Linked DNA regions of Oryctolagus cuniculus. The protein of the gene in region 1 interacts with the protein of each later gene in a biochemical or structural test. Links are inferred from orthologs where the notes say so. Each region holds a gene or a part of one and is shown in the gene's direction. Other genes may lie near its edges.

Evidence for each region.
Region 2: the proteins of UBE2M (region 1) and CAND1 form a complex in vitro, tested with the Homo sapiens proteins (2 studies listed by BioGRID). The link is inferred for Oryctolagus cuniculus from reciprocal best matches to the Homo sapiens genes UBE2M and CAND1.
Region 3: the proteins of UBE2M (region 1) and DCUN1D5 form a complex in vitro, tested with the Homo sapiens proteins (3 studies listed by BioGRID). The link is inferred for Oryctolagus cuniculus from reciprocal best matches to the Homo sapiens genes UBE2M and DCUN1D5.
Region 4: the proteins of UBE2M (region 1) and DCUN1D3 form a complex in vitro, tested with the Homo sapiens proteins (4 studies listed by BioGRID and IntAct). The link is inferred for Oryctolagus cuniculus from reciprocal best matches to the Homo sapiens genes UBE2M and DCUN1D3.
Region 5: the proteins of UBE2M (region 1) and DCUN1D4 form a complex in vitro, tested with the Homo sapiens proteins (3 studies listed by BioGRID). The link is inferred for Oryctolagus cuniculus from reciprocal best matches to the Homo sapiens genes UBE2M and DCUN1D4.
Region 6: of the proteins of UBE2M (region 1) and CUL1, one has a biochemical effect on the other in vitro, tested with the Homo sapiens proteins (7 studies listed by BioGRID). The link is inferred for Oryctolagus cuniculus from reciprocal best matches to the Homo sapiens genes UBE2M and CUL1.
Region 7: the proteins of UBE2M (region 1) and CUL3 form a complex in vitro, tested with the Homo sapiens proteins (2 studies listed by BioGRID, with this or other methods). The link is inferred for Oryctolagus cuniculus from reciprocal best matches to the Homo sapiens genes UBE2M and CUL3.

The regions. Positions count from the first base shown.
Region 1 is NC_091449.1:87,815-91,861, forward strand, and holds UBE2M (NEDD8-conjugating enzyme Ubc12), read left to right. Parts: upstream 1-1,247; 5' UTR 1,248-1,760; coding exon 1,761-1,869; intron 1,870-2,592; coding exon 2,593-2,687; intron 2,688-2,803; coding exon 2,804-2,842; intron 2,843-2,943; coding exon 2,944-3,047; intron 3,048-3,295; coding exon 3,296-3,359; intron 3,360-3,444; coding exon 3,445-3,585; 3' UTR 3,586-3,960; downstream 3,961-4,047.
Region 2 is NC_091442.1:69,618,407-69,622,470, forward strand, and holds the start of CAND1 (cullin-associated NEDD8-dissociated protein 1), read left to right. Parts: upstream 1-1,264; 5' UTR 1,265-1,596; coding exon 1,597-1,664; intron 1,665-4,064. UniProt on the Homo sapiens protein: Key assembly factor of SCF (SKP1-CUL1-F-box protein) E3 ubiquitin ligase complexes that promotes the exchange of the substrate-recognition F-box subunit in SCF complexes, thereby playing a key role in the cellular repertoire of SCF complexes.
Region 3 is NC_091432.1:94,775,729-94,779,819, reverse strand, and holds the start of DCUN1D5 (DCN1-like protein 5), read left to right. Parts: upstream 1-1,291; 5' UTR 1,292-1,624; coding exon 1,625-1,710; intron 1,711-2,569; exon of another isoform or gene 2,570-2,655; intron 2,656-3,779; coding exon 3,780-3,871; intron 3,872-4,091. UniProt on the Homo sapiens protein: Contributes to the neddylation of all cullins by transferring NEDD8 from N-terminally acetylated NEDD8-conjugating E2s enzyme to different cullin C-terminal domain-RBX complexes which is necessary for the activation of cullin-RING E3 ubiquitin ligases (CRLs).
Region 4 is NC_091450.1:18,308,819-18,313,072, forward strand, and holds the start of DCUN1D3 (DCN1-like protein 3), read left to right. Parts: upstream 1-1,454; coding exon 1,455-1,885; exon of another isoform or gene 1,886-2,293; coding exon of another isoform or gene 2,294-2,303; exon of another isoform or gene 2,304-3,071; coding exon 3,072-3,555; 3' UTR 3,556-4,254. UniProt on the Homo sapiens protein: Contributes to the neddylation of all cullins by transferring NEDD8 from N-terminally acetylated NEDD8-conjugating E2s enzyme to different cullin C-terminal domain-RBX complexes and may play a role in the cell cycle progression by regulating the SCF ubiquitin E3 ligase complex, after UV damage.
Region 5 is NC_091433.1:42,217,899-42,222,173, forward strand, and holds the start of DCUN1D4 (DCN1-like protein 4), read left to right. Parts: upstream 1-1,475; 5' UTR 1,476-1,487; coding exon 1,488-1,659; intron 1,660-2,220; exon of another isoform or gene 2,221-2,287; intron 2,288-4,275. UniProt on the Homo sapiens protein: Contributes to the neddylation of all cullins by transferring NEDD8 from N-terminally acetylated NEDD8-conjugating E2s enzyme to different cullin C-terminal domain-RBX complexes which are necessary for the activation of cullin-RING E3 ubiquitin ligases (CRLs).
Region 6 is NC_091434.1:174,882,088-174,886,224, reverse strand, and holds the start of CUL1 (cullin-1), read left to right. Parts: upstream 1-1,337; 5' UTR 1,338-1,454; intron 1,455-1,655; exon of another isoform or gene 1,656-1,792; intron 1,793-1,855; exon of another isoform or gene 1,856-2,074; intron 2,075-4,137. UniProt on the Homo sapiens protein: Core component of multiple cullin-RING-based SCF (SKP1-CUL1-F-box protein) E3 ubiquitin-protein ligase complexes, which mediate the ubiquitination of proteins involved in cell cycle progression, signal transduction and transcription.
Region 7 is NC_091434.1:14,622,870-14,626,837, forward strand, and holds the start of CUL3 (cullin-3), read left to right. Parts: upstream 1-1,168; 5' UTR 1,169-1,618; coding exon 1,619-1,684; intron 1,685-3,968. UniProt on the Homo sapiens protein: Core component of multiple cullin-RING-based BCR (BTB-CUL3-RBX1) E3 ubiquitin-protein ligase complexes which mediate the ubiquitination and subsequent proteasomal degradation of target proteins.

The DNA.
Region 1 (4,047 bases):
GGGTGGTAAGTTATGCTGGCACCAATATCAAGCTGTTTGAGGCTTCCTAGCAGACTCCCAGCCCCGATCTTTCCAGCTGTCAGCCCTCAAGAGTAACGGAAAGAAGGGATGCTGGGGTCTAAGGCTGAGATAACTACAAGGCTGGGGGGTGGGGGTGTCTATGGGAGACAGGTCCGAGATGGACCATCGAACACAAGGGCCAAAAGGAAGACCAGCAGTGGAGACACGGTTGTGATCAGTTCCTGGGGCCAAAAGTTCCAAGGGTACCTAGAGAGGCCCAGGACCAGGCTGGACAGGGGTCAAGGCGGGTGCAGGAAGGCGCTGGCAGGGAGGGGATGGGGCCCACTCTCCCGCTATGAGGAGAGAGGGTGGACGACAGGCTGAATCCAAAGAGGCGCTGAGGAGCAGAGGGCGTCGGGGTGACTTTGCATTTGTCAAAAGGCGGGGAAGGGCTAGGGTCACACCTGCCCAACGCCACCATGGCCTCCACCTGAGCACGATGCGACGTGGGCGTTCGTGGGCAACGACAGCGCGCGCACGGTGGCCGATGGGCAGTGCCCCGGGAGCCTCGGCCAGTCCACCGCACGCCCGTTCCTGTGGTGACCGAAGCCACCGATCCGCCCAGCGCCTCCCCTCCCGCCTTCCGAAGCACGCGGGGCTGTGGCTGGAGGGGAGGCTCACGCCGCCCGCACGGCGGAGGAGCGAGGCAAGGCTGCCGTGCTACGTCCCGTCCCCAACGTCCAACCCGGACTTCAGACCTCCAAGGTGCTTACCACTCTGTGGCACAAAAATGTTTTACTGTTAGTTTACCTCAGTCTCCGAGAGCGGAGATCTCTGGGTTTGCAACCGGACAGTGAGGGTCCTCGATCCCGCACCCTCTGAGCAAAACCCCTGGCTCCGCCTAGCCTCCGGCCCGCCGTGACCGCTGGGGACAATGACCTTGTCGGACTCACCCCCGCCGCGCTCAGCACGAGTGCAACATCGGATGCACACACCGTGGGGGAGGCGGCCCCCCATCTGACCCACTCAAAGATGGCGGCCAACACTTCTTCCTTCCCGGTCCAGCGAGGGTCCCCGGAAGTGACCGCAGAACCACCGAATCGTCCTCCCGAGACGGAAACACCCGAGGCCCGCCGAAAGAGCACGAACCCCAAACCCCATCGCTGAGCAACGCGTCTGCGGCGGCTGCGCAAGCGCAGAGCGCAGGCCAGGCTGCAAAGCCGAAGCCGGCGGGCGACGGAAACAGCCGAAGCGGCGGGGCGCCCGAGGCCGTTGCCGACCTCCGCGCCGAAGTCGCTGCTGCCGCGGAGGCCGATCCTCCGGTCCTTCGCCGCCGCCCCCGTGGCTGCCGCCTCCTCCTTCCACCCCGCGCCACAGCCCCTGGCGAAGTAAACGGACGAGCGGCGGGGCCCCCAGCCCTCGCGTCCGCAGACGCAGCTGGGCCTCAGGAGACCGGAGCCGGCCAGGGGGAGGAGGGAGCAGCCGGGGGAGGAGGGGCGGGGCCGAGAGCAGCCGAGTCCGCCCGAACGTCGCCGAGCGAAACCGAGGCCCGGGGCCAGGCCGGAGCCGGACTACGGGAGCCGACGCGGGCCGCGCGGTGGGCGCGGAGCGGCGCGGCAGGCCGGGCGGGCGGCAGCAGCTGCAGAGGAGGCCGCGGCAGCGGGTCAAAGGAGCGGAAGCGGCGCGGGAGGCGGCGGGGGCCGGGTGGCCGGGGTCCCGGGCCCCGCGGCGGCGGCGGCAGAGGCGGCGGCGGCGGCAGGATGATCAAGCTGTTCTCGCTGAAGCAGCAGAAGAAGGAGGAGGAGTCGGCGGGCGGCACCAAGGGCAGCAGCAAGAAGGCGTCGGCGGCGCAGCTGCGGATTCAGAAGGGTAGGGGGTCTGGAAGTGAGGGTGGGGGCTCGGAGTCGGAAGTCAGAGCGCAGGGTGGGGTGATACGGGGTCAAGAGCGGGGTCATGAAGTCGCCGAAGATCAGAAATGGGGGCCGCAGTTGCGTGGGGGGGTGGTCAGAGGTCAGGGCTTGAGGGTCGGGTGGCCGGGTAATGCCGCCACTGGGCGCGAATCAGATGAGGGGCCGGGGAGAGCGTGTGAGCGAGGGAGCGACTGGGGCATTCGGGAGGCCTGGGGTCTGGTATTAGGGACCCAGCACCCGGGGGTCAGGTGGCGGAGGGGAGGACTGGGGCTGGAGAATCCGAGGGTTCAGATAGGAATCTGAGTTTGGAATGACAGGCAGAGGGGAGGGGTGGGAGTGGAGGGACTTGGGGTCGGTGTGAGGAAACGACTTAGCGTGTCAGGGGCCGGGGTCCTTGAGTTTGAGCAGACAAGTAGGTACCAGACAGTGGAGGTCGTGGTTGAGGAGTTGGGGTCTGGGAGCATCGGACACGCAGGGTGAGGGGTGTTAGCCTGGGAGCTGGGTTGGGTGGACGCGGGGCCAGGAAGCGGGGAAGCAGCCACAACTGGAGATGTGTGTCGGGAAGAGCCCCCCTGGGGAGAGCAGGAAGCTGGAACTCAGGCCGGGAGGAGGCCGACACCTGCTCCGAGTGCCCATCTCTCTCCTCTCTCCCTCTGTCCCTGTCTCCGCTGTTCAAACCCAGACATAAACGAGCTGAACTTGCCCAAGACGTGTGACATCAGCTTCTCAGACCCAGACGACCTCCTCAATTTCAAGCTGGTCATCTGTCCTGATGAGGTGAGAGCACACGTGGCCAGACTCACAGGAGCAGGGCGAGGATGGCCCCACTGACAGGCAGGAGACCCGCTCTGCTCGCGGGACCTGACTCCTTCCTTCCTTCTCTCCCTTCCCAGGGCTTCTACAAGAGCGGGAAGTTTGTATTCAGTTTTAAGGTGAGTCCCAGGTGGGCAGAGGTGGCTCCGTGGACTGGAGGGGCAGGCACTGAGGCCCTGCCAGGCACCTACCCCCCTCCCCTCTCTTTTCTCGGAGCTAGGTGGGCCAGGGTTACCCACATGACCCCCCCAAGGTGAAGTGTGAGACGATGGTCTATCACCCCAACATTGACCTCGAGGGCAACGTCTGCCTCAACATCCTCAGGTGAGGGCACTGACCCTCTGCTGCCCCCTCCCCGCCCGGCCCCTCTCGGCTTTGTGGTCACTACATCTGTCCCATCCCTTTCATTCCCAAGTCACAGTCCCAATAGCCTGACCGTGGCTTCCTCCCTGGCTTGTCCTGGTCTCACATGCTCACTCACCCATGCCCCGGTCCTGACCTGTGCAGTACCACTGGGGCCTGTGACAGCCTCCCACTCACCAGCTCCTGACCCTGATGCTCTCTGCCCACAGAGAGGACTGGAAGCCAGTCCTTACGATAAACTCCATAATTTATGGCCTGCAGTATCTTTTCTTGGTGAGTAGGGTGGACATTTGGGGCTGGTGGGGAGAATGGCCTTCCACCTCTCTGGCCCGTTGACCCCCACCTGTACTGGCCACAGGAGCCCAACCCTGAGGACCCACTGAACAAGGAGGCCGCCGAGGTCCTGCAGAACAACCGGCGGCTGTTTGAGCAGAATGTGCAGCGCTCCATGCGAGGTGGCTACATCGGCTCCACCTACTTCGAGCGCTGCCTGAAATAGAGTCGGTGTATACCTGCCCCCGCCAGGGCCACCAGTCCTGGCGTCCCCTGCAGATATTTATTGGGGGGCCACAGGTTGGGGGGGCAGCCAGTGGGGGAATCCCCTACCTTGGCCATGCGTCCCCTCCCTGCCACCTGCCCTTAGTTATTTTTTTTTAACCACCACGTGATTATGGTCGGCGCTGCCTCCCCCGACCCACTCAGCGATGGGAAATGAATTGGCTTGTCTAGCCCCCTCCTCCACGCTGGGTGCTATCCAGCCCCCCACTCTGGGCTGCGAGGTGGGTGGGCAAGGGGCCCGGGTCGCTGGGTCCAGGCAACCCACCCCTCCACCACCAGAGGTCCCACCAGGCTATTAAAGGGGAATGTTACTGCATGGCCTCTGCCTCTTCCTTCAATGGGACGCGAGGGGTAGGGGGGAAGTGGAAGGTGTGTGGTCACGGGGGGCACTGGGGGTACCGCA
Region 2 (4,064 bases), on another chromosome or scaffold:
AGAAATGCCAAACCGGATTTGATGTTTTGGAAGTAGGATGCCCTTTCTAAAGGTCTGTTGTTGTCTTTAAACAAAATCTCTGACCAAGGTTAATTTTTCCTCTTTTTTAAAAGGCCTGCCAGCTAAATCACCCACCACCTCAAACTCAGATTTTTACGTGTGGACCCCTAGCTGGCAAATATTATCTGGAAAACTCCTAATATGAGGCAGATGAAACACTTGGATGGTATACAATGGCTCGGATAGCTCATCTCCGATGGTTGTGCTTGTACGTCTGAGGCAGCGACGAAATACTCAGCTGAAAGATCAAGTCACGAAAGCTGACGTACAGAAGATGGTCCTTTAGCTATTTCGGACAGAACGCGCAGGCCCACTGGTCTTTTACTAAAATTGGGCCGCCATTAGAGAGCGCGCTCTGCACTCCCGGAAGGAGTGCGTTAACCAGCGAAGTCGGGAGGCCCAAATGCCTCTACAGAGGCAAGGATTCGTGCAAGAGGCCGCCACTGGGTCTCTGCCAGGGACACCAACCGGACCGCAATGCGCCTGTCCGAACCGCAGCCGCCTAGCTCGGCAAACGTCGCCAACGAAGAGCGTGTGTTCACAGTACGAACCCGAGGCGGAAACGGAGCGGTGATTGAAAGGTCGTCCCCAGCACGCCTCCCGCGCCAGCCTGCAAATCCCAGCATTCACTCCTCCCACAGGAGCCAATGAGAACGCTACAAGTTCCTGCAGCCAATCACATCCCGACTCAGCGTAGCGCACGTTGAATTCTGGGACTTGTGGTTTTCACGTGGCAGCTTCAGTCTGGTGGTTAAAGGCAACAGGCCACGCGTCCGATTCAAAACGAAAACTCCCTCTTAGAATTCTTTATGGTCTCCAGGCTGTCCCCTTAATCACCATAATCTCCAGGCACTACACGCCTTTAAATTAGTGAACTTTTTATCTTAATGTCATACAGATAAGAAAATCAAGTATTTTCAGATTAAGGCCCGTTTGTAGCTTCCGTCCCTCGTCCTTTAACCGTCACCCTGAAATCTCGCGAGAATAGCCCCCTTCAGTCGTTGTCATGCCTCCTGGGAGGCGGTCCACGAGAAGACTGACATCGGCCTTAGCCAACAGAATTGCCCTTTAACAAGCGTCTCAAGCGTGCGCGGGGAGGCCTCCGTGAACTCTGACTTCGGCTTTCCGTAGCGTCCTCCGCCTGTCGCCCCGCCCCCGGAGCGAAGGAGGCGGGTTTTGGCCTCCTGCCCTAGCGATCGAGTGCGGAGGGAGTGGGAGCTAGACGGCCCGAGTGGAAGTGTCTGGGTCCCGGGAGAAGCCCTGCTGTGCGCCGTGCCGCCCATGAGTCCGCTCTCCCGCCAGCAGCGCGGTCGTTAGCCCAGCCCCGCAGCCTCTGCTTCCCCCGGGACGGGCCCACCCTCGCCGCGGAGGCAGCCTGCCGAGGCGCCTCCCTAGTCAGCGTCGGCGTCGCGCTGCGACCCTGGAAGCGGGAGCCGCCGCGAGCGGGAGGAGGAGCCCGAGCGGCGGCGGCGGCGGCGGCGGCGGCAGCGGGCAGCAGCACCAGCGGCGCCGGCGGGCGGGATCGGGGCCGTCAACATGGCGAGCGCCTCGTACCACATTTCCAACTTGCTGGAAAAAATGACATCCAGCGACAAGGACTTTAGGTGAGGCCGCAATCTGACCCTCACCCCACCTCGGGGGGCCCCCCGTCCGCGGCCCTGGCCCTCACGCAAGGCCCTGCCCCACCCCTTGGGCCTTCGCCGGCTTCCTCGCTTCACCGCGGCCGCCAGCCCGCCGCTCGGCTGGCTCCCTGATCCCGGGACCCCCCCCACCTTTTCCTCGCCCCGCTTCCAGCCCCCTCCCCCCTTCTTGCCTCGAGGCCGTTGCCACAGCCATCCCTAGGCCCCTTCCTTCCTGGCCTCTAAGCGCCCCCGCCGCAGGCCCTGACCCTACGGACGCCATCCTCGGCTCCCAGGTAGCGCCGAGGGGCGAGAGCACCCACCATTGTGTGGAAGGGGAGTTGCTCTGCGGCCGGGCCCGCGCGCCGGCCTTGCCGAGGCTTTAGGCCGCCCCGCTCACGGGGGCCCCCGCGGCCGCCTCCCTGGCTCCCGCAGGCTGGGGTCGGCGCAGCGATTCGCTTTGGTCGAGCCCTTCGCTGACTGAGTTCTGTACTTTTTTTCTTTGCATTCTTTTCGGTGTCGGAGCGGAGAAGTGGGGGAGGGGAGCCTGAAGGCAGAGACTTGGCCAGGAGGGTTTTCCCGCCAGCATCTCTTGTCAGTTTCCGTCGTCAGGTGAAACCCACGCAGGGTCTCGGGGTTTCAGCCTCATATGCCTACATCCAGAGTCCGAACGAGCCGGACCTTCCTGGAAGGAGTTCTCTGACACGGGGCTGGGGAATGCGAAGCTTTATACAGCAGTCTGTTTCAGGAGGCTTGTGCTGTTGCTTCCAGATTCTTGTCACATGCATGTTGAAGACATGCTGTGTTTTCACAAGTTGATTATCTGTGGGCCTTTTTTTTTTCCCCTCCTCGCACACTGCATTGATTGTTGCATTCCTTTACAAATAAATACATATGCTCTGTCTCTCACAAACATGCTTTTTTATTTCTGCACCTTCAGTTTTACACGTGTCATTTATGTGCATTTAAAAAGAACGAGCAAGTAATCTTCAACTAAGTTATAGCCAGTTTGTACGTGTTGTCTGAACAGGACGTTTTAACAGGAAAATGGGTCCAAACTCAGCCGGCAAGAAATGTTCTAACTTGGGAAAGGAGAGCCATGGAAAAAGCAATAATTGTGATCCTACTTAGATTGATGGTGTTTGTCATATTAAAATGGTCACTGAAGTGCAGTTTTGGTTCTGTGGCTTCAAAACCACATGCTTTTGGAAAAGTTTTGCTACCTAGGGAGTGTAAGTGTTGTGTCTGAAACTTAAAACCAGTTTGTTAACCTGAAAGATTTTGGCGTTGTTACTTTTTGGAAGTGAGGTGCTTGTTTTGGGTAGTTTGGAATTTGAGATGTGTGTAGTTGGAAGGGCAAAATCAAGATTATTGGGTGGAAAATAAAAGTTTTATGTTTTAAGAATGAGGATGCTGTTTGATTTCCTTTGGAACTTTGCTTGCTCCCAATTCCAGTTACTGAAATGGAAATGCTTGAGTGAGACTTGGATGTAACTTTCAGCCATGGAAAATCTGTGCTGTGTCTCTTCCTGCTTCTGTCAGTTTGTCTTATTCTGTAGAAGAACTGATCTATTCTTATTGTTTTTCATTTCAGTCTAAAGGTAGCACTTTCCCTGTTGTGCAGTTTTAACTTTACAGAATCCTATGTGGGTAATATATTTAGAAATACTTAGAAGTCATGTCATGTGGTGATACTGTACAGATAGATGTCTGTTGACTGAAGCCAGCTCTTTTCAATTTCTTGCAAAGGAAACATAGTATCAAGGTACTTTTAAGAGTTGTGGAAAATGGAATTAAAAGACAAGTTTATTCTGCTGCAAAAAACTTTTTTTTAATCCATGCATAGTTTTTTCATAATATGCATTTTCTATGAACTTTTTGAAAACCTTTGTGTAGGGTGTATGTCCCTGGGGTTTGGTTTTATTTTGTTTTAAACTATGTGAAGGAAGTAACAATGTGTGATGCTACTCTGTAGTTATTGCTGAATTTACTAAGAATTTTCTACTGATTTGGGTTGGAATGAACCAGAACATAGCTTGACTAGGTAGTGTAATATTAATATATAATAGTTGGTGAATGTTGTAGAAGCTTTGTTGAGGAATAGTAAGCAACTTCCAGCAATTTGACATCCCCGAGGTGTTTTTAATGAACTATGTTGTAAAAACTGTTTTGTAATGTGCTTCAGTTCACAGGCAAATCTTTGGAAGCTGAGGAATTTTTTGTATTAAGTTACAGATTTAAAGATTAATTGAAGTAGTGAGCATTTAAAGTAAACAGTTTTGAAGATTTTTCTGCCTAATTTCAGTATGGGTGTTTATCTTGATACAGTTGTTCTTTTTTAACTTCTTGTTAGAAATTTCTTTATTTTGGTATAAATAGCACAGA
Region 3 (4,091 bases), on another chromosome or scaffold:
ATTAAAACCATGTTAAGTATGGGCTGGCATTGTAACACAGTGGGTTACACTAACTCTTGTGGTGATGTCATCCCATGTCAGAGGGCTAGTTTAACTCCTACCTATTTTCCAATCCAGCTAATGGTGGCAGGGCAGTGGAAGATGGCTCAGGTGCTTGGGCTTGGAGTTCTTGCCTCCCAGCTTTAGCCTGGTCTAGACCTGGCTTTTGTGGCCATTTGAGGAGTGAACCAGTAGATGAAAGTTATCTATCTTCCTCTCTCTGTTATTCTGCCTTTCAAATAAATAAATCTTTAAAAAAAAAAAAACCACATAGCTAGTATTTCTATACTGCTCATAGGTACAGAGGCTATCAATATGGCCCTTTTGTGAGATAAATTCAGATAAGTGTACGAGTCAATGACTTTTGACAAGTACATACACCAGCACCCCAACTAATGCACAGTGTATCTATCATCCAGAAAGTTCCTTTGTACATCTTTGCCGTCTTCCCTATTTCTACCCTATCCCAAGCCCCATGTGTTACAGATATGCTGTTCCTTCAGATAAGTTTTACATGGTAAAAAATTTTGTCACATATCAAATTAGTATTACAATGTCCAGTTGTCTCAAAATGCTATATGAATTGTTGGCTTGAATCAATATTCAATAAAAATCATATTAAAAATCATCGCTATATCCTTTAAATCCTTATCCTCTCTTCCTATTAATTTGCTGCAGAATCCGGGTCACACGTCTCGAAGACTTCCTGACAGTTTAGATTTTGCTGTTTGCTGTCCGGTAAATTCCTTGCTACTCAGTCAGCAATCATCTACTATCTCTCTTCCGAGAGGTGAGTTCTGTATAAGTAAAAATTGTGCAGTTAAACTTCACTGCGGGACACAGTGGCTAGCAGAGGTTGAGAAGTGGGGGACGGGGGGGGAAGGAGCTAGAGGCCAATCACAGGTCCCTGAAGAAAATATGCTAGACACTGACAATGCGTTTAAATGCGGGAACACTAACGATAAGATTACCGTTTGGAAGAGCTCAGGAGTGAAACCTGGTCTAGTTCTTCAGAATATTTTTAACGCCAGTTGCAGAATATTCGTTTCATAAAACATTCTCGGTGGTGACTACTAACACCAAGGTGGGGGTGGAAGAGAAAGGCCAGGATACTAAGTTTTGTTTGCAGTAATTCCGGCACAAAGCAGGACTTCTACCTTTTCCTCGGTTAGACAGCAGGAACCCACCGCCCCTGCGGCTAACCTGGGTCAACTAGAGCCACACCCCTTCCGGCAACCCGCGCGCACGCGTCACTTCCGAATATAAGGGATTCGCATCCGGGTCAGGCTGAGCCGCTTGCTCCCTGTGACTGGCGGAGGTGCCGCGCTGTACGCGTTATTTCCTCTCGGCGAGACCGACCCGCAGTGGCCACCGGCGAGGAGCCACCCCTGTCCCAGCGAAGAAAAAAGAGCAGGAGACCTGGGAACGCACGGCCGCCGTGCGGGGCCGAGCCGGGCCAGCCTGACGACTCTGCCCCTCCGCTTGCTGCTGTATTTGGGAACGAAGTGCCAGCGCTGAGGGGCCTCCAGCAGACATTGACCCCCTTCCCCGGCTCCCCTGCCCACCCTGCCAGGGAGGGCGGAAGATGCCGGTGAAGAAGAAGAGAAAATCCTCTGGGGTGGCAGCGGCAATAGCAGAAGACGGAGGCCTCAAAAAGTGTAAAATCTCCAGGTACCACTTCCACCCTTTCCTTCAAGCTTTCCTTCTTCCTCCTTTGCTGGGCAGCTGGAAGAAAGGGAGTCGGGCCCGGCCTCCCGGTCTCGGGCTGGAGAGGGGTGAGGCCCCCTTTTCCAGCCAGGCGGTAGGTGCAGAACACCGGGAGTCCGCGCCGGAACCGACCTCGTGCTCGCTCGTGTGTGTGCCCCGGCGTTCACGGAGAGCCCGGGGCAGTCTCCAGCATTAGGGGGTGCCTGCCCTGGAGGTGGGGGAAACAGATGCATCTGTAAGCTCCGCTCGTTCCCCTGCCCCGCACTCCCTTCATCCCACCCTCAGCTTTTTAATAGACGTGGAAGTAAAGGGTCGCTTTCAGAATTTCTTTGTAGCTTGGAAGAAAAGAGCGTGAGGAATTCTTGGCTTGACAACTGCTTTGGGGACGGTAGGAAGGAACTCTTAGGCTAAAATTGGCCTCCAGATGTAGTATTCGAAGCCCTAACGGAGACCATCTGAGCTGCAGGCCTTTCATATGGTAGGGACCTCATTTTCTGGAAACGTAATGCCTCCGTCTATTCCAAGTCCTCGTGTGCAGGCTTGGAAACACCCAGAATGCTTTTTGTTCTCTAACATTCAGCACAGTGTTAGTTCTTGGTATCAGTATTAGTAATTTGGGAGCTGTTGTACACCATGCTCGGTGAACTGGAGTTACAGCTCTTTGCATGATAGCATATCCTTGGGGCCTCACAGCAACACCGCATGCTGCAAAAAGAAGCATTGCAATTTAGAAATGAGAGGTGGACTGGACGTTGTTGGTTTTTATTTCCTTTGGGAGTCTTTGTATCAATGGTTGACACCTGATGTAACAATGTCAGATGCCACCATTCAAAGAAGACAGTAGCCAGCATTACAAGGAGGAAATAACAGAGCTTCTCTTACAGAGAGATCTGCTGCTTAAAGTGTGAGGTAGGTAACTTAATCCAGTCTTCACCTTCCTTTTCGCCATTGATTGACTTTTTCCTTCATTATTACTGTGTTTTGGCAAAGGAGACCAAGGAGTATTTCTGAGGCCGTTTAATGTGACACAATTTTCTTACACCTCTTGGTCTAGAGAATTTTTATATGAATTTTATATGAAGGCTCCACGAGCTCATATTTTTGTGAAACAAATTAGTTTTTTAGTTACTCTTAATTTGTGACCATCTTGAGTGTATAAAGTGTCAAAATTATTTAAACCAAACATTAGATTAGCTGAGCTGGCAATGTTACTAGAACTCAGGATATACTTTGTCTCTCGATTTTTTTTTATTATGCATACTTCTTTGACATATTACTCAATTTCATTTCTGTATCATTGTGATAGTGTAATTATTTGAATTTCAAGGTACTCTAAAGTGCATGAAATCCTACAGGCCACTTTGGAATTAATCAACTTTTAATGATTTCATCAAAAAGTGTTGAAAATGATTTTGTCTGAGATTAAGTAGCTTTGGCTGAATTATTGAGACTTACATTAACTTTTAGAGTTTTTGTTTTGTTTTGTATTTTTTCTCAGTCTATGGAATTTAGTATACCTGTAGGTCCTATGTCATTTTTATCTTTAAATGTTTATTTTAGCTTAGTAGATGATAAATGAACAATTCTTAATGTATCTTTTTATTTTGAAATATTGGTCAAGTATCTAAATATACTTTGTAAGATTTTGTTTTCAAATGTATACCTGTTATATACAAATATGATTTCCATATGAATCAGTAGCAGAAACAGAATATAGATTTTACACTTTCCCAACTAACAATCCTGCCTCGAGACTTAGGTTGAACTTCTTTGTGTAGTCTTTTGCAATTTTGGGAGATAATTTCAGTTGATATTTTAGAATTTTATAGTGAGCAAAGCAGCATTTGGGGTTGTTATCCATAAATTTTTACATTTAGACTACTGAATTGGAAGTACTTCAGTTTTTTTTCCCTATAATGTCAACGTCTAAAAATATTTTGTTTACTTTGAATTGCGGTAGTTCTTATTGAACTTAGTTTTTCACTAAGAATTGAGACTTAATAAAAATCTTAGGCATTTGTGTGTTTTCTAAGCTATTGCAGATCCCAACCCCCTGCTAGACTAATAAGTGGAGAGGAACATTTTTCAAGCAAGAAGTGCCTGGCTTGGTTTTATGAGTATGCAGGTAATGAAATTAATGTAAGAAGATACCAGTCATATGCTTTAAAAATTTTTTTTGGTTCATTCATTTAACAAATTGTTTATTACAGGCCTGCTATGTCTTAGTGCTGTGCTGGGATCAGAGCAAGGCTGAGGATTGTGGGTAGGCTAGGAATTTGGTGTCGGTTCAGACTGATATTTCTTTAAATATATATTCTGTATTTATTTAGTGGGAGGATGAATGT
Region 4 (4,254 bases), on another chromosome or scaffold:
GGCAGAGTGCCAGTTCTGAGTCCTAGGATCTCTGCTTCTGATCCAGCTTCCTCCTAATGCATCCTGGGAGGCAGCCTAAGTGCCTGGGAGGCTTAAGTGCTTGGGCTCTTTCCACCCATGGAGAGACCTGGATGGACTTCTAGGTTCCTGGCTTTGGCCTGGCCCAGCATAGTTGTTGTGGGCATTTGGGGAGTGAACCAGCACAAGAAAGATCTCTGTGTCTCTGTCTCTGTTGCCATTTAAGTAGATAAAAATAAACACGTAAGAAAAAAAGGAGCCCTGGATAGACAGGGTAGTCTCAGAGAAATTACATTCCCTTTAGGTCCCTTTCCGATGGGGGTGGCAGGGCCCCAAGCACTGGGGCCATCATCTGCTGCCTCCCAAGATGCAGGAGCAGGAGGCTGGGTCAGAAACTGAGTAGCTAGGACTCCAGGACGGCATGTGAGCATCCCAAGCAGTGGCTTATCCTTTTGCATCACAATTCCTGCCCCCATATCCTACCATTTTTAGAAGATCGTATTTAGACAAATCAGTCCTTTAGAGCAGAGACACATACCCCATTAGAAGCCTGCTAGGACTGTCATGTTTAATGAGAACTTGGCATGCATTCTGTACAGCCTCACTAAAGACATAAAAGGGAGGGAATAAAAAAAAAAAAAGCTCCTAGGTTAGGAGACTTTGCTTGGAGTACAGGGATGGTGAATGGCTTCCGTAGCTGAGCAAAGAAAGGGCCTTACACCTGCTATGTGGGATAGGCCCAGAAAGGGATCTGGAGAGATCAGGGATGAACTTTACTTTGATGTTTGGTTCTGCCCTTGTTCGCAGGCCTGACACTGCAAATCCCTTACCTCATTGTTAAGCTATTGTGAGACCCTATAGTTGTTTTGGGTATGGCCACTCCCTCCCTCTATTAATCCCATGTATGGAAAAAGAAAATCTGAGTGTGACGGTGTTAAAAACTAGAAAATAAACCTTATATTTGTACCCTCTGGCTTAATCCAGGTCCACATAAATTTTTTGCATGATGATGAATTGGCAAGACAGATTTCCTCTGGAATATTTGGCAGAACTGTGGTCTTTGATGTGTTCTGCACATGAATCAGCTTCTTTGTAACCTGTTACCTTAAGAATTTTAGGAATTTCCCATATTGGTTTTCCATATGTGCCATAGCCACTGCTTTTCCAAGGCAAGTTACAGAGCTGGCTTATCAGGGAGGTGATCTCCCTTCATTCCTTGTTGGCTCATTGAAACGCAGTGATCCCCAGGAAGCAGTCCCCAGAGGGTGGTGCCCCCGCCCATGCCCTGTGTTCTGTGTTCAAGAGGTGACTGCTTTCCAATTTCCTCCCAGGTTGGCTGGTTCCTCTGGCTGATGGCATGTTGAAGTACATGGGCCAGCGGCAGCGAGGGCATCCATTCCAGAGGGGGCCACTTTAGAGGCCAGGCCGCCAGCACCATGGGCCAGTGTGTCACCAAGTGCAAGAATCCCTCATCAACCTTGGGCAGCAAGAATGGAGACCGGGACTCCAGCAGCAAATCACACAGCAGGCGAAGTGCAGGCCACCGTGAGGAACAGGTGCCACCTTGTGGCAAGCCAGGTGGGGATATCCTCGTCAATGGGACCAAGAAGGCGGAGGCTGCCACTGAGGTCTGCCAGTTGCCAACGTCCTCGGGAGATGCTGGGAGGGAGTCCAAGTCCAATGCTGAAGAGTCTTCCTTGCAGAGGTTGGAAGAACTGTTCAGGCGCTACAAGGACGAGCGGGAGGATGCAATTTTGGAAGAAGGCATGGAACGCTTTTGCAATGACCTATGTGTCGACCCCACGGAATTTCGAGTGCTGCTCTTGGCTTGGAAGTTCCAGGCTGCTACCATGTGCAAATTCACCAGGTTAGTTACAAATACTTCATGTTACCAGGTGAGCAGAGGAGGAAACGGAGCAATGTTGTGCAGGAGTGCTCAGCTAGGATAACTGGGTCAGCTGCATGGGGTTTGGGGAAGGGAAAATCCTTGTGCTCTGACCAGTTTCTCAAAAGCAGATGTTTTGAGCTAAGTTGTGTTCCTGATCCAGAGAAGGCCTCCCCCTGCCACCTCCCTCCCAAGACTCCTCTGAGGGTTTAAAAAAGTAAGTGCCTGACTCTGTAGCAGACCCACTCAATAGGAATCTTGAGGTACTTGAGAATTCACTGTCCGTCCTGTGGCAGGTGCTGTGTGTGCCAGTACAGTGAGAACCTCCAGGGATGTGCCTCTGCCACTCCGTGAGCCCAGTTGTCCCTTCTCATCCTTACCGTATTGCCCTCAGCCAGACCTGTATGAAACAAGGACAGGTGGCCCAGTTATCAAGCAGCAGTTTCATGTCGTTGTGGTCTTATATCCCTGTAGAAGTTGCTTGTGGGTGAAGACGTGACAGGGTCACCCCAAGGGGTGGTTTGCTGAGCGCAGGTTATGAGACCTGGCCAAGCCATTTCTAGTCTATATGCCCCCAGGTAGCTTACCCTCCAGACCTGGACTCCCTAATCTTGGTGGGTACAGCAGTCCCAGAGAGGAAACCGTGCTGTCAGCTGGAAGTGTTACAAAGATGTTAAATATGTGTACGCAAGTTTTGTTATTTAATAGCACAGTTTTTATCTCTGGTGGCAGACTTAAATTTTATCCTGCCTCTCGGGCTCCAGAAGTGTCTCTTGGCTGTCACCAGAAAGATACCAAAACAACCCAGAGAGAATCGAAAGGGAGGCAGGAAGGCTTCTCCATCGAGGAGAAAGAGGCTGCAACCTCATCACCAGTGCAGGGCAGCAGACCCAGCAGGAGGCAGGGGACTAGCTGCCTGCCGTGTGCTTGGCAGTGTTGGAAACACTCGGTACTCGTGCTAACGTGTTTACCCCTCACCAGAACCCTGCAAGGTGAGGTGTAACATTTACTCACCACTTGGCAGATGAGGAAGGAGGACTACTTAGTGCAGGAGCTGGCATTTGATCCAGGCCATCCTGCCTCAATGCCATACTCTTGATTACTATACTCTGTTGCCCTCGGTAAATAATATCGGTTATAACTAATTTGTGCCTTCTTTCTGTTGCAGGAAGGAGTTTTTCGATGGCTGCAAGGCAATAAGTGCAGACAGCATTGACGGGATCTGTGCGCGGTTCCCTAGCCTCTTAACAGAAGCCAAACAGGAGGATAAATTCAAGGATCTCTACCGGTTTACATTTCAGTTTGGCCTGGACTCTGAAGAAGGGCAGCGGTCACTGCATCGGGAAATAGCCATTGCCCTGTGGAAACTAGTCTTCACTCAAAACAACCCTCCAGTATTGGACCAGTGGCTAAACTTCCTAACAGAGAACCCCTCGGGGATCAAGGGCATCTCCCGGGACACTTGGAACATGTTCCTTAACTTCACTCAGGTGATTGGCCCCGACCTCAGCAACTACAGTGAAGATGAGGCCTGGCCAAGTCTCTTTGATACCTTTGTGGAGTGGGAAATGGAGCGAAGGAAAAGAGAAGGGGAAGGGAGAGGTGCACTCAGCTCAGGGCCCGAGGGCTTGTGTCCCGAGGAGCAGACTTAGTGGCTCTGTCCCAGGAGCAGCAGCAAAGAGCTGCCTGCTGTCCTGCAGCCAACCAAGGAATTGGACCTTTCTGGAAATTACTGAAGATCCGGATATTTTCTACTTTACACCTTTCTCTGCCTTGTATCTGAAAGGGCTCTAAAATGCTGTATCATGTTTTAGGCACTTTCTTCATTTTTTGGTTATTTTGGTTATTTCTTTTTTTTGGGGGGGGTAATCCCCCAAAATATTTGAACCTGGCTACATGTTGTGTATCTTTTTTTGAAGCCTTCAGATAGAATAAGTCTGCCATTTCTTGCACAAATTGGATGATTTTTTTTTTTTTTTTTGGTGGGGGCCAGTATAGAGCCGGGTGGGGGGAATGGGACTGTTCGGTTGAATTAACATTACAAAATGATACAGTGCCAGATCTCAGTTTTGCATACTGTTTTTCAGGGCAGGTCTGTACTGTGTGTAGTGCTGTTTACATGGTTGAATTTAGGTTGTAATAATTATTTTTAAAGATTTACACAGATTTTGAGTAGCAGTGTTAACTGTTAACCACATTGCATTAATTTCCAGACAAGTTTAGAGCTCTTGGGGAGCTGAGGCCAGTCAAGAGCGTTTGTGTAGTCTGGTGATAACTTCCCTTTTAAGCTAATTTATCCAAAACCCTTATTTCCCTCACTTCTTGCTCATTCCTTCTTTGACCTACTGCAT
Region 5 (4,275 bases), on another chromosome or scaffold:
AGGGTGATCCTTCGCTCACGTCGCAAAATGTTACTCCGCTATCGTCGTGTGGTGGTGGGACAATTTGGTCACCAAACACCGAACACCCAGGGCGAAATTTGGAAGCCTGGTGTGAATTCTTGGCGTGGGAAACCCCAGGCGCGGAATTCACCTCGGCTAACAGCCTGCCTCTGTTTCGTTTCGTGGTCGCCCTCTGCGCGTCCCGCCTTGGGTGCCCTCCGGTGACGCTGCTCTGGGGTGGGCTGGCGACTCGCCGACGCGCCCGAGCGACCCCAGCCCTGGATTTCCGGCATGCTGCCCGGGGCACGCGGACGCGTGTGGCAGACAATGCTGTAGCATTCGAAGCCTTCGTGACAGCCCAGCTGGCACTCGCAGGGGGAAGGAGTGGTGTAGACTCTGGGAAAGAAGCGCTTTTCCAAAGTGTGGAGAGGGCTGAGACAGCGTTTTGTTCCCACCGGAGGGTCTGCTCGGAATGAAGACCCGACAATGCTTGATCCGGTTCTCTGTGGTAGGAAAAAGCCGGCAAGAGAAGTCCCGGTCCAAGTTCGGGCTCCTGCAGAGTCCCTCTGGAGTGCGGGACGGGGGACGGGAAGGCCGGACGCGTCGTGCCAGGCGCCAGGAGTGGGCTGTCCTCCCTACTCCCTGCAACTCGAGACAAACTGCCCCAACTGCGCTTCCCCTTCTCAGTTCAGGGAACACTTTGCATGCTTTGTTTCAGACGCCGACCCATCTTTCTCAGTTGGTCTCCCGCTCCACCAATCCCGCCCGTCACGGGGCGGGGCTTCAGGGTCAAGGTGGACCAATTTCCCCAGCCTCGCCCCTACACGCGCTTTCGGACCCCCGGGGATGACTGACGGCAACCGGGTCCAACCTGCTACTCCCGAGCGTGGCCTCCGCTAGGGGCGTTACGGAGACCAGACACCGGGGCCAATCGCTTTGGAGTCCAGGGGGCGGGGCCTCTTTGCCAGTTCCAGACCGGCGCTATCGGCACTCCTTCTGTCAAATCAGAGACGCGAAGAGGCGGTCCCTTGGTCTAGGCTCAGCCAATGGAGGAGGCGAGGTGGGCGGGCCCGGAGTGCTTGGCGGCGGGTCCTTAGCTCCCAGCCGAGGTGCGGTGAGCCGGTGGGGGGACCGCGAGGCGAGCGCGGGAGCCCGGGAGGCGAACGGGGTGTGAGCTGCCCGAAAATGCACTCGGATGCCGCAGCTGTCAGTGAGTTTGGGAGAGCCAGCGGGCTGGCGCTGCCAGCACTTTCCACTCGGGTCCCGCCAGTCCCCGCCCCGTGCCTCCCGTCCCGAAACGCGCCGGCAGCCCCTGCCCGGGAGCCACCCCTTCCCCTCGGGGGCCGGGGCGGGCGGTGACGCTGCGGGCGGCGCGGGGCGGAGGCGGGCGTGGGGGGAAGGGGCCGGCCTGCCGGGGGAGGGCGGAGGTGAGGGGGGTGGGGACTGGCTCCGTTTCAGTGTTGGGGGAAGGGGGGGCGGGACGTGCGATGAAGGGCCCGGACCGGAGTGTCCTGGGTGAATGGAGGTGGAGGCGGCTGCGGGCGCTAGCGGGCAGGGCCGGGGCGGGAGAGGGGGGGAGGGCGCGAGCGAGCGAGCGGAGCGCAGGGGTGAGGATTTCCAAGGGGCTGAGCGGTGCGGGCGGCTCCGTGTGGAAGGCGGGTGAGTGCGAGGGGAGCGCGGGGGCGGGGACAATGGGAAGCAGGGCTGGATGGCGGGGGTGGGGGAACAATGGGGCGGGGGAGTGGGGGCCACCCGAGCGGGGCGGGAGGGCGGGCAGGGGGCGAGGGCTGAGGTAACGGGAGAGCGAGGTAGTTGCGAGGGCTTGGGGTGCGATAGAAGAGTTGGGGAGTCCGGCGGGCGGGAGGGGCCCTGGGAGGGTGGCAGGGTACCGGAGTGATGGGAGGGGACGATGTGGTGGTGATCGGCCGGTGCCGGTGTCGGGACGGTGGGGGTCCCGGGGATGGTTTGGGGTGGCAGGATGGGGGCAGGGGTCCGGCGAGGAGGCGGGGGTGAAGAGCTAGTTGGGGAGGAAGGGGAGGCGGGGAGGGGCTGGAGCCGGGGCTGGACTGTCACGTCCAGATTCGGTCCGGCTCTGGGCTGGGGGGTTGCGGGACTGTGTGTTTGGGGGAGGTGCTGCCTCTCCGGGTCGAGGCAGGGTCCCTGGAAGGGGGGGAGCCCAGACCTTCGGCGTGCGGCGAGAGGAGGGGGCGGGGCTGAGGTGGAGGGGCCGGGGGAGGTGTCCCGAGGTTTGCTCTGGCGGCGGTTCCCGCGAGCGGCGGGAAGCGAGGTCAGCGCTGGCGCGGGCTCCGGCTGCGGGATTGGGAGGCGGGGCAGAGGCGCGGGCTGCGGGTTTTCCGTGGCGGGAGCCGGAGAGGTCGGGCCCCGGAGTCTGGGTGGGGGTTTTGCGCAGGGGAGGTGTCGGGGTCCCTGGCGATCCGTGGGTTTGGCAGTCTGTGACGCAGTTGTCTAATTTCTGGCTGTCAGGTGTGGAGGCTGATGGCTCACGACCCGCTCGCCTGCAGGGAGAGCTTGCCCGGAGGCCTCGCGCAGCGCCCGACGGGCGCGACCTCTCCCTGGCATGCGGGAAGGGCGCTTTAGGGGTTTCCTTAGGGTCTGGTTCCAGTAGCCGGGTGTGAAGGGGAAAGGCAGTCCGCGGAATTCTGGGACTTGTAGTCCCGGCCGCGCCGGGCCGCGGTTGGGTTGGGTGCACGTGGGTAACTGTGGAAACGAGTCCCACAATGCAGCGCGCCCCCGGCGCCTCCCTGCTCTGCCAACTCGTGCTTTATTCCCCAGCTGACCCGAGCTCGCTCTCTGAGTCGCCCCGGTCCTCTGGGACTGGAGCGGTTCCCTGGACCTTCTCCTTCTATCTGCGGGAGAAGCAGAGCCTGAGCAAAGCCCAGGTGCTTCACACTGGAGTTGTTTTTTTTAGTCTCCCGGTTAACTATTTCCCCGTGTTGCGTGGCCTTACTTATACGATAAATTCTAAGTCTTGGACCATCTAGCGCACATACTGTGGAAGACATTCTTTGGCAGCACAATCTGAAGCAACGTTTAGGGTGGTGTATTTGTTGTGGCACGTAGGTTAAAAGGCTGTCTTACATAATATGGGAACACAGCAAAGATGACTATAACCCTCATGAAGATAATATCAATGAAGGGTTGATATTTGTTGAAATGTTTGGTTTGCTCAAAGATAAGAGAATTTTTTTGAAAAAAAAAAAAAGATCTTGAAATGAATTGAGCAATGGAGGTGTCTTTTTGGAACATCAGGTGGAAATTATCCCATTCATAAAGCCAGGATGAAAATGTGAAGGTGAACAAAGAGAATATGTGATGTCTTCAGTTTTCAAGAAGCTTGGAAAGCAAATGAGACCAGAGGACGACAAGCTGTATAAAAGTTGGAGAGCCTTAATTTTTTTGTGTGTATTTGTTTTGTTTTAAGATACAACTATAGGCCGGCGCCGCGGCTCACTAGGCTAATCCTCCGCCTTGCGGCGCCGGCACACCGGGTTCGAGTCCCGGTCGGGGCGCCGGATTCTGTCCCGGTTGCCCCTCTTCCAGGCCAGCTCTCTGCTGTGGCCAGGGAGTGCAGTGGAGGATGGCCCAGGTGCTTGGGCCCTGCACCCCATGGGAGACCAGGAGAAGCACCTGGCTCCTGCCATCAGATCAGCGCGGTGCGGCGGCCATTGGAGGGTGAACCAGCCGCAAAAGGAAGACCTTACTCTCTGTCTCTCTCTCTCACTGTCTACTCTGCCTGTCAAAAAAAAAAAAAAAAAGATACAACTATAATTCTCTCTTTAATGTTAGAGACCTTCTTCTCAGTCTGTAGACTCTCCCTTTACCATTTTTAAAAAAGATTTATTTATCTGAAAGGCAGAGTTAAAGAGGGAGGAAGGTAGAGAGGACTGGAGATCCATATCCAGATCTTTTGTCAGCTGCTTCACTCTTCAAATGGCTGCAATGGGCAGGAAAGCCAAGAATCTGGAACTCCATCTGGGTCTCCTGCATGGGTGCAGGGGCCCAAGCACTTGGGCCATCCTCCACTGCTTTCCCAGATGCATTAGCAGGAAGCTGGATCAGAAGTGGAAAGACCTGGACAGGAACTGGTGTCCATATGGGGTGCTGGCCTCCCAGGTGGTGGGTTAACCCACCTGGCCACATCACAGGGCCCTTCCTTTACCATTTTTATGTGGTAATTCAATGATCTATAATGTAGAGCAGCAGGAGATTAGCTTAGAATTGAAATATAATTTTTATGTGCTGTGTAAGGTGTTA
Region 6 (4,137 bases), on another chromosome or scaffold:
TAAGTGATGGCTCAAGGACTTGAGTCCCTACCACCAACATGAGCGAGCCAGATTTAATCCCCGACTCCTGGCTTCTGCCTGGCCCAGTCCAGCTATTGCTGGCATTTGCAGAGTAAACCAGTACATGAATAATTAATCGATCGCTCTCTGTCTCCCCATCTCTGTCACTCTGGCTTTCCAATAAATAAAACTTTTTTTTTTGAAACCCACAAAACAGAAGGTTTTCTGGTAAACAATAAAGGGAAAGTTGACCCATTTAGCCATTACCTTCATCTGTGGGAAGTCACAGACAAGGAAACCCCATTGAAAGAGATGGAGAAGACAGGTTAAGGAATTCGGAGATAAGTTGTCTGTGGAACACACAAGTCCCAGTAAGAGGAACCAAGGATATTACAGGAAAGCCATATAAAAAGTGGCTACATACACCTAACGATTCGTTTGACTAGGTTACTTAGAAGTGTACAGACCAAGAATTTTTCAACCCCTGCACAAATTAAGGATTCCATACTTTGGTGACAAGTTTATTTACAAACTAAGGATGCTTAACAGAGACTGACAAAAGACCCCCATTTCAGAGAGGGATTTTTCTTCTAAGAGAACCCGGTGTTCCTAGGGGAACCGTGTGGACTCTGGGGGTGGCCTTCTGCTCTGGCTGACCACTTCTGCCCCAAAGTGCTTCTACAATCTCTGCAATGTTTTGGTTTGGCGAAAACAGGAAACTGCCTCCATCCTAACTTCTGCCCAGACGACAGGCTAATTGGAAACCCTTCCTTACTCATTCAGTGGAATTAGGCATCTCGCAATCTCACTAGGTGTGAGGTAAGTCAATGCTTTCTGTTACTGGTGCTGCCAAATTTTGCTTAATATTCCAAACACCCAATCCTAAGATTATTCCTAAGGAGTGAGATTAACTACTACTGACGACACGTGAAAACAGTATTTTATAGTCACATCTCATGCCAAGCATGTCATCAAAACCTTCAATTCTGTTCTTGATGTGTGCTTACAAAGACTAAGGAAAAGCGAATCTTCGTCAAAATTTGCCCAAAGCGCGTCGGTTAAAGGGTTTGAGGAGGGGAGCCTGGTTGGGTGTATTTTAGAAAAAGACTTTTTAAGAAAGACATGCAGCCAGCCTGGCTCAGGCTTTCGGGCGCTCTTTCCGAAGGCGGGCAGGTGCACCGCGGGGAGAGCGAGGCGCGCACGTGTCGCGGGAGTCCGCGCGGATTTTCGGGACCACCTGCCCCCGCTGACTTTAAACGCCAGTCGGGGACACCGCTGCTGGTTGCGCTCCCGGTCCCCGGAGGCACGTGGCTGGGGGTAGTCGGGTTCCATGTCAGCTCTGGGGGAGTGTGTGCGCACGGGGAGGGGCAGGGGCGCGGGGAGCCCCTCTCCTCCCGCTGCTTCGCGCAGCGTCTCCAGAGGCCGGAGCCCCCCGCCGCCCCTCCAGCCCCCAGGTCAGCCCCGCTCGCGAGGTCCCGAGTGGCGGGAAGCCGGGTCTCCCTCGGAGGCGGCCCCCAGGCGAGGCGGGCTGTGAAACCTGGTGGAGGATCCGGTGCGCCCGGTGGGGGGCGGCTCGGGCGTTTGGGGGGGCCAGGGGCCACGAGACTGCAGGTAGAAACAACCCAAGCGAGCGGGGGGGACCCCGGCGGGCGGGAGGCGGCCGGGCCCCTCCCGCGCCTCAGGCTGGTGGGGCGATGGCGGCGACGGTTTCCCGGCTCCCCCGCCCCGGACGCCGATGGCGGTGCGTTCCGGCCCTCCCCCAACAGCGTCTCCCCCGCGGTCGCCGGAGCCGGTGAGGCCGGGAGGGCGGGGAGCCGCGCAGGGAAGGCGAGAGGGCGGAGGTTGCGTGGTGCAGGCGGCGGCGGCGGCGGCGGGAGGAGGAGGAGGGCCGGGCGGGCGGGCAGGCAGGGGAGGAGGAGGAGGAGGCGGGCGCCGTGTCGCACGCAGCTCCAGGCGGGGCAGCCCCGGTGGCTGAGGGACGCGGCCAGACCTTGGCGGGACGGGGGGGGTTTCACCGGGACCCAGCGACCCGGCGGAGACGTCGCGGGAGCCTTTCGGGCGTTTGGAAATGCGGGTGAGTGTCGGCGGCCCAACGGAGGCGGCGGCGCAGGCCCGGCCTCGAGCCGCGGTGTCGCAGTGACTGGGGCCGCGGCGGCCGAGCGCAGGCGGCGGGCGAGGCCTGAGCCGCCGACCCGCGGCCGGGCGGAATGGCGGCCGGGCCGGGGGCCCTCGCGGGGCGGAGGACGCCGGGGGCGGGCGAGGGGCGAGCGGGGCCCGCCCTGAGTCACCCCGGCTGGCTCGGGCCTGCCTGGCCGGGCCGGGCCGCGGCTCCGGGGCGGCCAGGCCCGGACTACGCACCGGGAAAAAGCCCGATTCATCGCGCCCGGAGGCGGCGGCCTGCGTGGCGCCGGGCTCGCCTCCCGGAGGCTGGGCCGGCGTCCGCGCCGCGCCTCGCCTCGCCTCGTGCGGCGACCCTCGCGGGACGGCCGCGCTTCGGCCCTCTCTCCCTCCCCCGCCTTCCGGCTCGCGCTTCTCCCTCGGGCGTCGCTGGCATGCTCTCCGGCGCGCCTCCGGAGCGGCCGAGCCGGTCTCCCTGGCTCTCGGGTGCCCCGCTCGCTTTGTTGCGGCCGTGCAGGGCGCTATTATTGGGTAATAGTCTCCCCTTTGCTCCGTTCTCTCGGGGGAGCGGGCCGGCGCAGACGGCGCAGGGATGCCCGGGCGGCGGCGGAACCGGACGGAGCCCCTCGGCGCCCGCCGAGCGCTCTCGACTCGGCCCCAGGCCCTGCGCCCTGGCCTCGGCGCGCCCCCGGCCCCGGCACGAGCGCGCGCCCCGAGCCGGGAGGGAGCCCCGGCCGCGGGGATTTGGGGTCCGCCAGGCACGCGGGTCGTGCGCTTCGGTGCCCAAGGCCCAGGTTAGCCCGAAAACTCCGGCTTTCCAATCACCTGTGTGGCGCTGTGCAGTGTAGACGTATGATTGAGAAAGAGAAATGCTTGGCGTTCCTTAAGATGAAGCCCCAAACTTGAGGGTGTCCCTTCTTGAGCTGGCTGTGCCAAAGACGATTCTCTTTGCTGATTGGGTCACTGTTGCTGCCTGCAGTTCGTAATAGGGGTTAGAGTAAGTGCGCAAATACTGAATTGCATTCAAGTTACTCAAGTATGTATTTACTCTGTGTAATTGTTCTTTGCTGCAGTAGCATTAAAATAGTCCAAAGTTATGAGTGGAGTAAAGGGTCACAGTGTTTTTGTAAATGCACTTAACAGATTGGAGAAGAGGAACTAAATTCATTCTTACTTTAAGCCAGGAGCTTCTAGCATGAGTTCCTGCCTTGCAGAAGTGTGTGCAGTTTAAAGTTTCGCAGTTAATTTTGGAGTGTCCCTCAAAATGGACCCGGCTTTCTGAAGTCCTGGAGCATTTATGTCACGTAGGATAATCTATGATGATCTGTTGAAAAAGTCGAACTAAGCATTTATTTTTATAAAAAGTTTGGGAATGAGGTTTTTCTTTGTATTAGAAAGATTTTTGCTTCAAAGTCCTGTGTGTTGCTTTCCATAGTAAGTTGAAATAGTTGCATCGCATTTCAAATTCCAAAGCACGCAAACACAAGACTTGCTTTAACTCTATTATGCCCATTTTTGGAGGTTTCAGGAGAGTGCTCATTAAGCTTGAAAGATGGCTGAATTGTCTGCTTTTAAAAAGAAAAAGTTAAGCTTTGTTTCCCTTGGTACCGTTTAAAATTTTTTTTTTCCAGAAAACAAACCAACTTGAGATACGCTAGGTTTTTCATCAGTGTATACAATCCACTCTGCCTGAGAGCTTTGTGCTCAGGTCCCTGTAGGCACGTCCTGTCCCCCAAGCCTGCCCCAGGCTATGTGGCATCAGAGGATCTCGGGACACACGCCTGAGCCCGACTGCTGGGTGTCCTTAGGGATCAGGGCTCGAGTACTCCTCTCCACTGATGGGGTATTCCTTTCTAACTCTAACTTAGTCTTGATCAGCAAAACAGCCTTATTTCCCTTACATTGCACGTGAACTCATTGAAGGCGGGGATGCTCCTTATTTATTTTTGAATCCTCATAGTAACTCAGAACTTGGTTGTGCTGGTACCTCAGTTACTGTTTTGAATGAATGAGTGACTT
Region 7 (3,968 bases), on another chromosome or scaffold:
GTTTACTTAAGTTTGCTACAAAATTGGATACAAGTCGCAGCTTCCAAATGCACAGAACTGGAAGAGCACAAGCCTTGGTAGGAACACAGATATTCTCTTGCAGTTGGAAACTCAACTATAACAGCAACTGGGCAAGTAGGGATGCCAGGAAGTCCAATTCTTAATAGATCAAAAAGCAAAGCAGGTGACTCAAACCGGAGGTTTTGATTACACAACGACAAAAAGCAGAAAACAAAAGCCAAAAACCAAAAAAAAAAAAAATCCTTCCAAATACACAGCAAGCTGTTAGAAACGGTAAGCTTGGCCTTGAAAACCGACCACGTTCAGGGAAAGCTACAATGATCCACTTGGCAGGTTAGAGCAGATCGCTAACATTGCATTTAACACCATTTACCAAACTACTGCGCCCTATTAAGGAAGTTGTCAGGTCATGACAGCGGTAAGGAAAAAGGCAGGTTTTGACATCAATAAGCACTGGACCCCCCTCCCCCCGGGGCCCCCAGTCCCCAGACTGTCGGTGAATAAAGAGGCCCGGGGCTTGTGCAGTTTAAGGAGGGCTAACTTGGCCACCCTCGGTCCAGAGCGCCGCAGCGCGCACGCTCTGCCTGAACCCCCGGGCAAGCCGCGGGACTCGCGGCAGGTAACACCTGCACAGACGCTCAAGTTCTGGCTCGCGCTCAAGTACCCATCCCTAGTCTACATGCCCTAGAAAAACACGGGAACCAGTTCTCAGTCGTAGTGACCCATCTCGCACCCCACGCTCCTCCCAGGCACTAACCTCCTGCCCACACCACCCGGCCCAGGCGGGACCGCCCACCCCACCAGAGCGCAGCTCCGGCCCTCGGAACTTCCCCCGCCCACTGCGCCCACGTGACTAAGAACCCCCTCCCCCGCCTCACCCTCCACCAATCAGCAACCACCTCCTCCCGGAATCCGGTCTCCGGCGCTCCTCTTTCAAAAGGGCAGCTTACTCTTCCCGCCCTCCGCCCCGCCCTCTTCCCCACCTCCCCGCCCCGCTGGCCCCGCCCACTCTCCCAACTCCCTTTCCCCCTCCTCCCCTCTCGGCGCGCCCTCCCGCTCCCGGGCTTCGCCCCGCCCCACCGAGGGCAGCGCGCTCGCTGCGCTCTCGCGAGATCCGAGCGTCCCTGCGGCCGCCCGCCTCCCCCTCCCGTCCTCCCACCCCCCTCCCCCCAACCTCTCCACTCTCCGGCTCTCCTCCCTCCCTCCTCCCCCCTCCACCCTCTGGGCCGGATCTCGTCTCGCTGAGGCGGAGGAGGAGAAGGAGGAGGAGGAGGACGTTCGGCCTGCGCAGTGAGATGTTTGTCCGTCGCCGCCGCCGCCGCCATCGCGGAGGAGCGCGATAAAGGCAGCCGACCCGGGCGTGAGGGGCATCCCGCGGAGCCGCCGCGCCAGCGCAGCCCCTCAGCCGAGCCCGCGTCGCCGGAGCCCGCGCCGCCGCCGCCGCGGCCGCCCAGGGGCCGGCCAGCTGCCCAGCCCAGCCCGGGGGCCGCGCCGCCGCCGCCCCCAGCGTCGCCCCCCGCCTGCCCGCCCGCCTTAAATGTGACACCGGCGCCTCGGAGAGCGACCTGAAGCCGCCGCCGGGGAGGGGACGAGCACCATGTCGAATCTGAGCAAAGGCACGGGCAGCCGGAAGGACACCAAGATGCGGATCCGGGCCTTTCCGGTGAGTCTCTTGGCGGCGTCCGGGACCCCGGGGCCGGGGGCCCGGCCGAGAGCCGCACGCGAGGCCCGGGCTGAACTCCCCCAACAGGCCGCAGGCCCGGCCTCCCCTCCCCCACGCCCGCCGGCCGCGGGGCTCGAGCCTGCCCGGCCACGGGGCGCCGCGGCCGCCCTCCCGGGCCGTTCCCCGCGCTCGGCGCCCCGGGCCGGCGCCGCGCCCCCGCCCGAGAGCTGCGCCCCCAGCCGCCCCGCGGGCGTCGGCTTGCGCGGGGGCCCCGGCGGCGCCCCGGCGGCTCCCCACGTTCCTGGGGTGTAGGCCCGACCCTCGGCGCTCCGCTCCGCTGCAGGGTCCCGGGACTCCAGCCCTACGCGGATGGAGGCTGGAAGTCTTCCTTGTGTGGGGCGTGTGTGTGTAACTTTTCACGTGTGGTCTCTCTGCGGCTTAAAAATGAGCTGGTTTGGCTAGCTGTTGGGGTGCGAAGAGGGCTGCCTCGTCTCCCTCCTTTCTCCCAGGAAGGGTTCTGCCACAGGCCGTCCTGGTGCAGTGACAGCGGTTCCGCGAAATGCCCAGTGCTCATTCACTAATCACCTCGAGTGTGATGATAGCATCTTTCATCCCGCGAGCTTCCTAAGCACTTCACTAACTCGCATGCAGCCAGGAATTGCCTCGCCTCTCCTAGGGGTCCAAAGGAAGCGAGCCAGCGAGAACAAACTGGACGTTGATTTTCCATTTCTGAGCTGTGGAAGCCCAGAAGGATGATTATAGTCACCCACCGAGGCGTTCTACTCTATCGATTTTAGTGACAGCAAACAGTGTTTGTTCAGAAACTTTCCTTTTTTGACGTTACGTTGAGATCCACGCTTGCGGGTTGAGTATGTAGATAGGGTATGACTTTAGATGTCATATCTGATTCAGATAGCCAATAGCAAGCAATTAAGTTGTACTGTTGTAACAGAAAAACTTGACATACTTGCTCATGTCGCTACAGTAACAGGCAGACGTCAAGGTAGACAGCAATTGATGGAAGATTGTGAAAAGTAAAACTGGCGAAAGATCTTAATTTTCCCTTCTCAGATTCATGAACATCGTGTGAGGGGAAAGGGGTCATTTGCATGTTTATTTTTTTAATCATTTTATTTTGAAGTGCAGTTTGCCGTCAGGAAAGACTTAACTACCTTAATACGATTGTCTTAATTAAGAATATTAGTCCCAGAGTACTTGGGGATCCCTCTGAATTCTTAAAGTTTAAGAAAATTCACCTGATTGTAGAATTCAGGCCCAGAAATACCATTGTCAATATGCAGCAACTTCCTACTTTATGTGAATAAATAGGTGTGGTATACTCAGAATTAAATGTTTTGGTACTAATTAAAGGTTTCAAATGTTTGAGTTTTTTTAAAAGTAGGTGTGAGAAACTATCAGAAAGTGAGAAAGAAATGTTGACTAAAGTGCACTAATGAAGTTCACTAGCATGTTTTCTTATTACCAGGCAAAGAGCTAGGCTTGTGAGTTGGAGTAATGTTAATTTTCTTACTAAATCAATTTAACCATTTTTAGCAGAATTTAGAATTTAGAATGAATGCATTGTATTCCAAAACAAGAAAATATTTATGGTTACATGTATGTGCAAACTTAATAAATATTGTAGTTTTTATATACCATTTGGGCATAAAGTTACTGTAAGGTAAATTATAGCTTAAGCAAAAGTCTCTAGTGCTCATTTCAGATTATGTATTATAAAATTGATCTGTAAAATGCAGATATTTATCTGTTTTGTTCTTATTTTGTTTTCATCATAAAAATAGAGTGAAGCGAATTTATAGCATATTTTCATTTATATTCTTGTGTTTTGAGTACTTTGAGAGAAAGAGAGTTCCCATTCCTGGTTTGCTGCCCAAATGCCTGCCAATGCTGGGAATTGACTGGTGCTGAAACTAGGACCTGGGAACATAAGCAAGATCTTTTACCCAGGTGACTGGAACCCAGTTACTTCAGCCATTGCCATTTCTTCTCAGGGTGCAAGTTGGTGGGAAGCAGAAGTCAGGAACTAGAGCCAGGCATTGAACCTGAGCACTGTAAATAGAGGATATGGACATCTTTTTTTTTGTCATCTAAGATTTATTTTATGTATTTGAAAGGCAGAGTTACAGGGAGAGAAAGAGAGAGAGAGAGAGATTGATCTTTCATCTGTTGGTGGTTCATTCAGAGAATCACCATCTGCTGGTGGTTCACTTTCCAAGCTACCAGGACTGGGTCATGCTAGGCTAGGCAGAAGCCAGGAACCCCA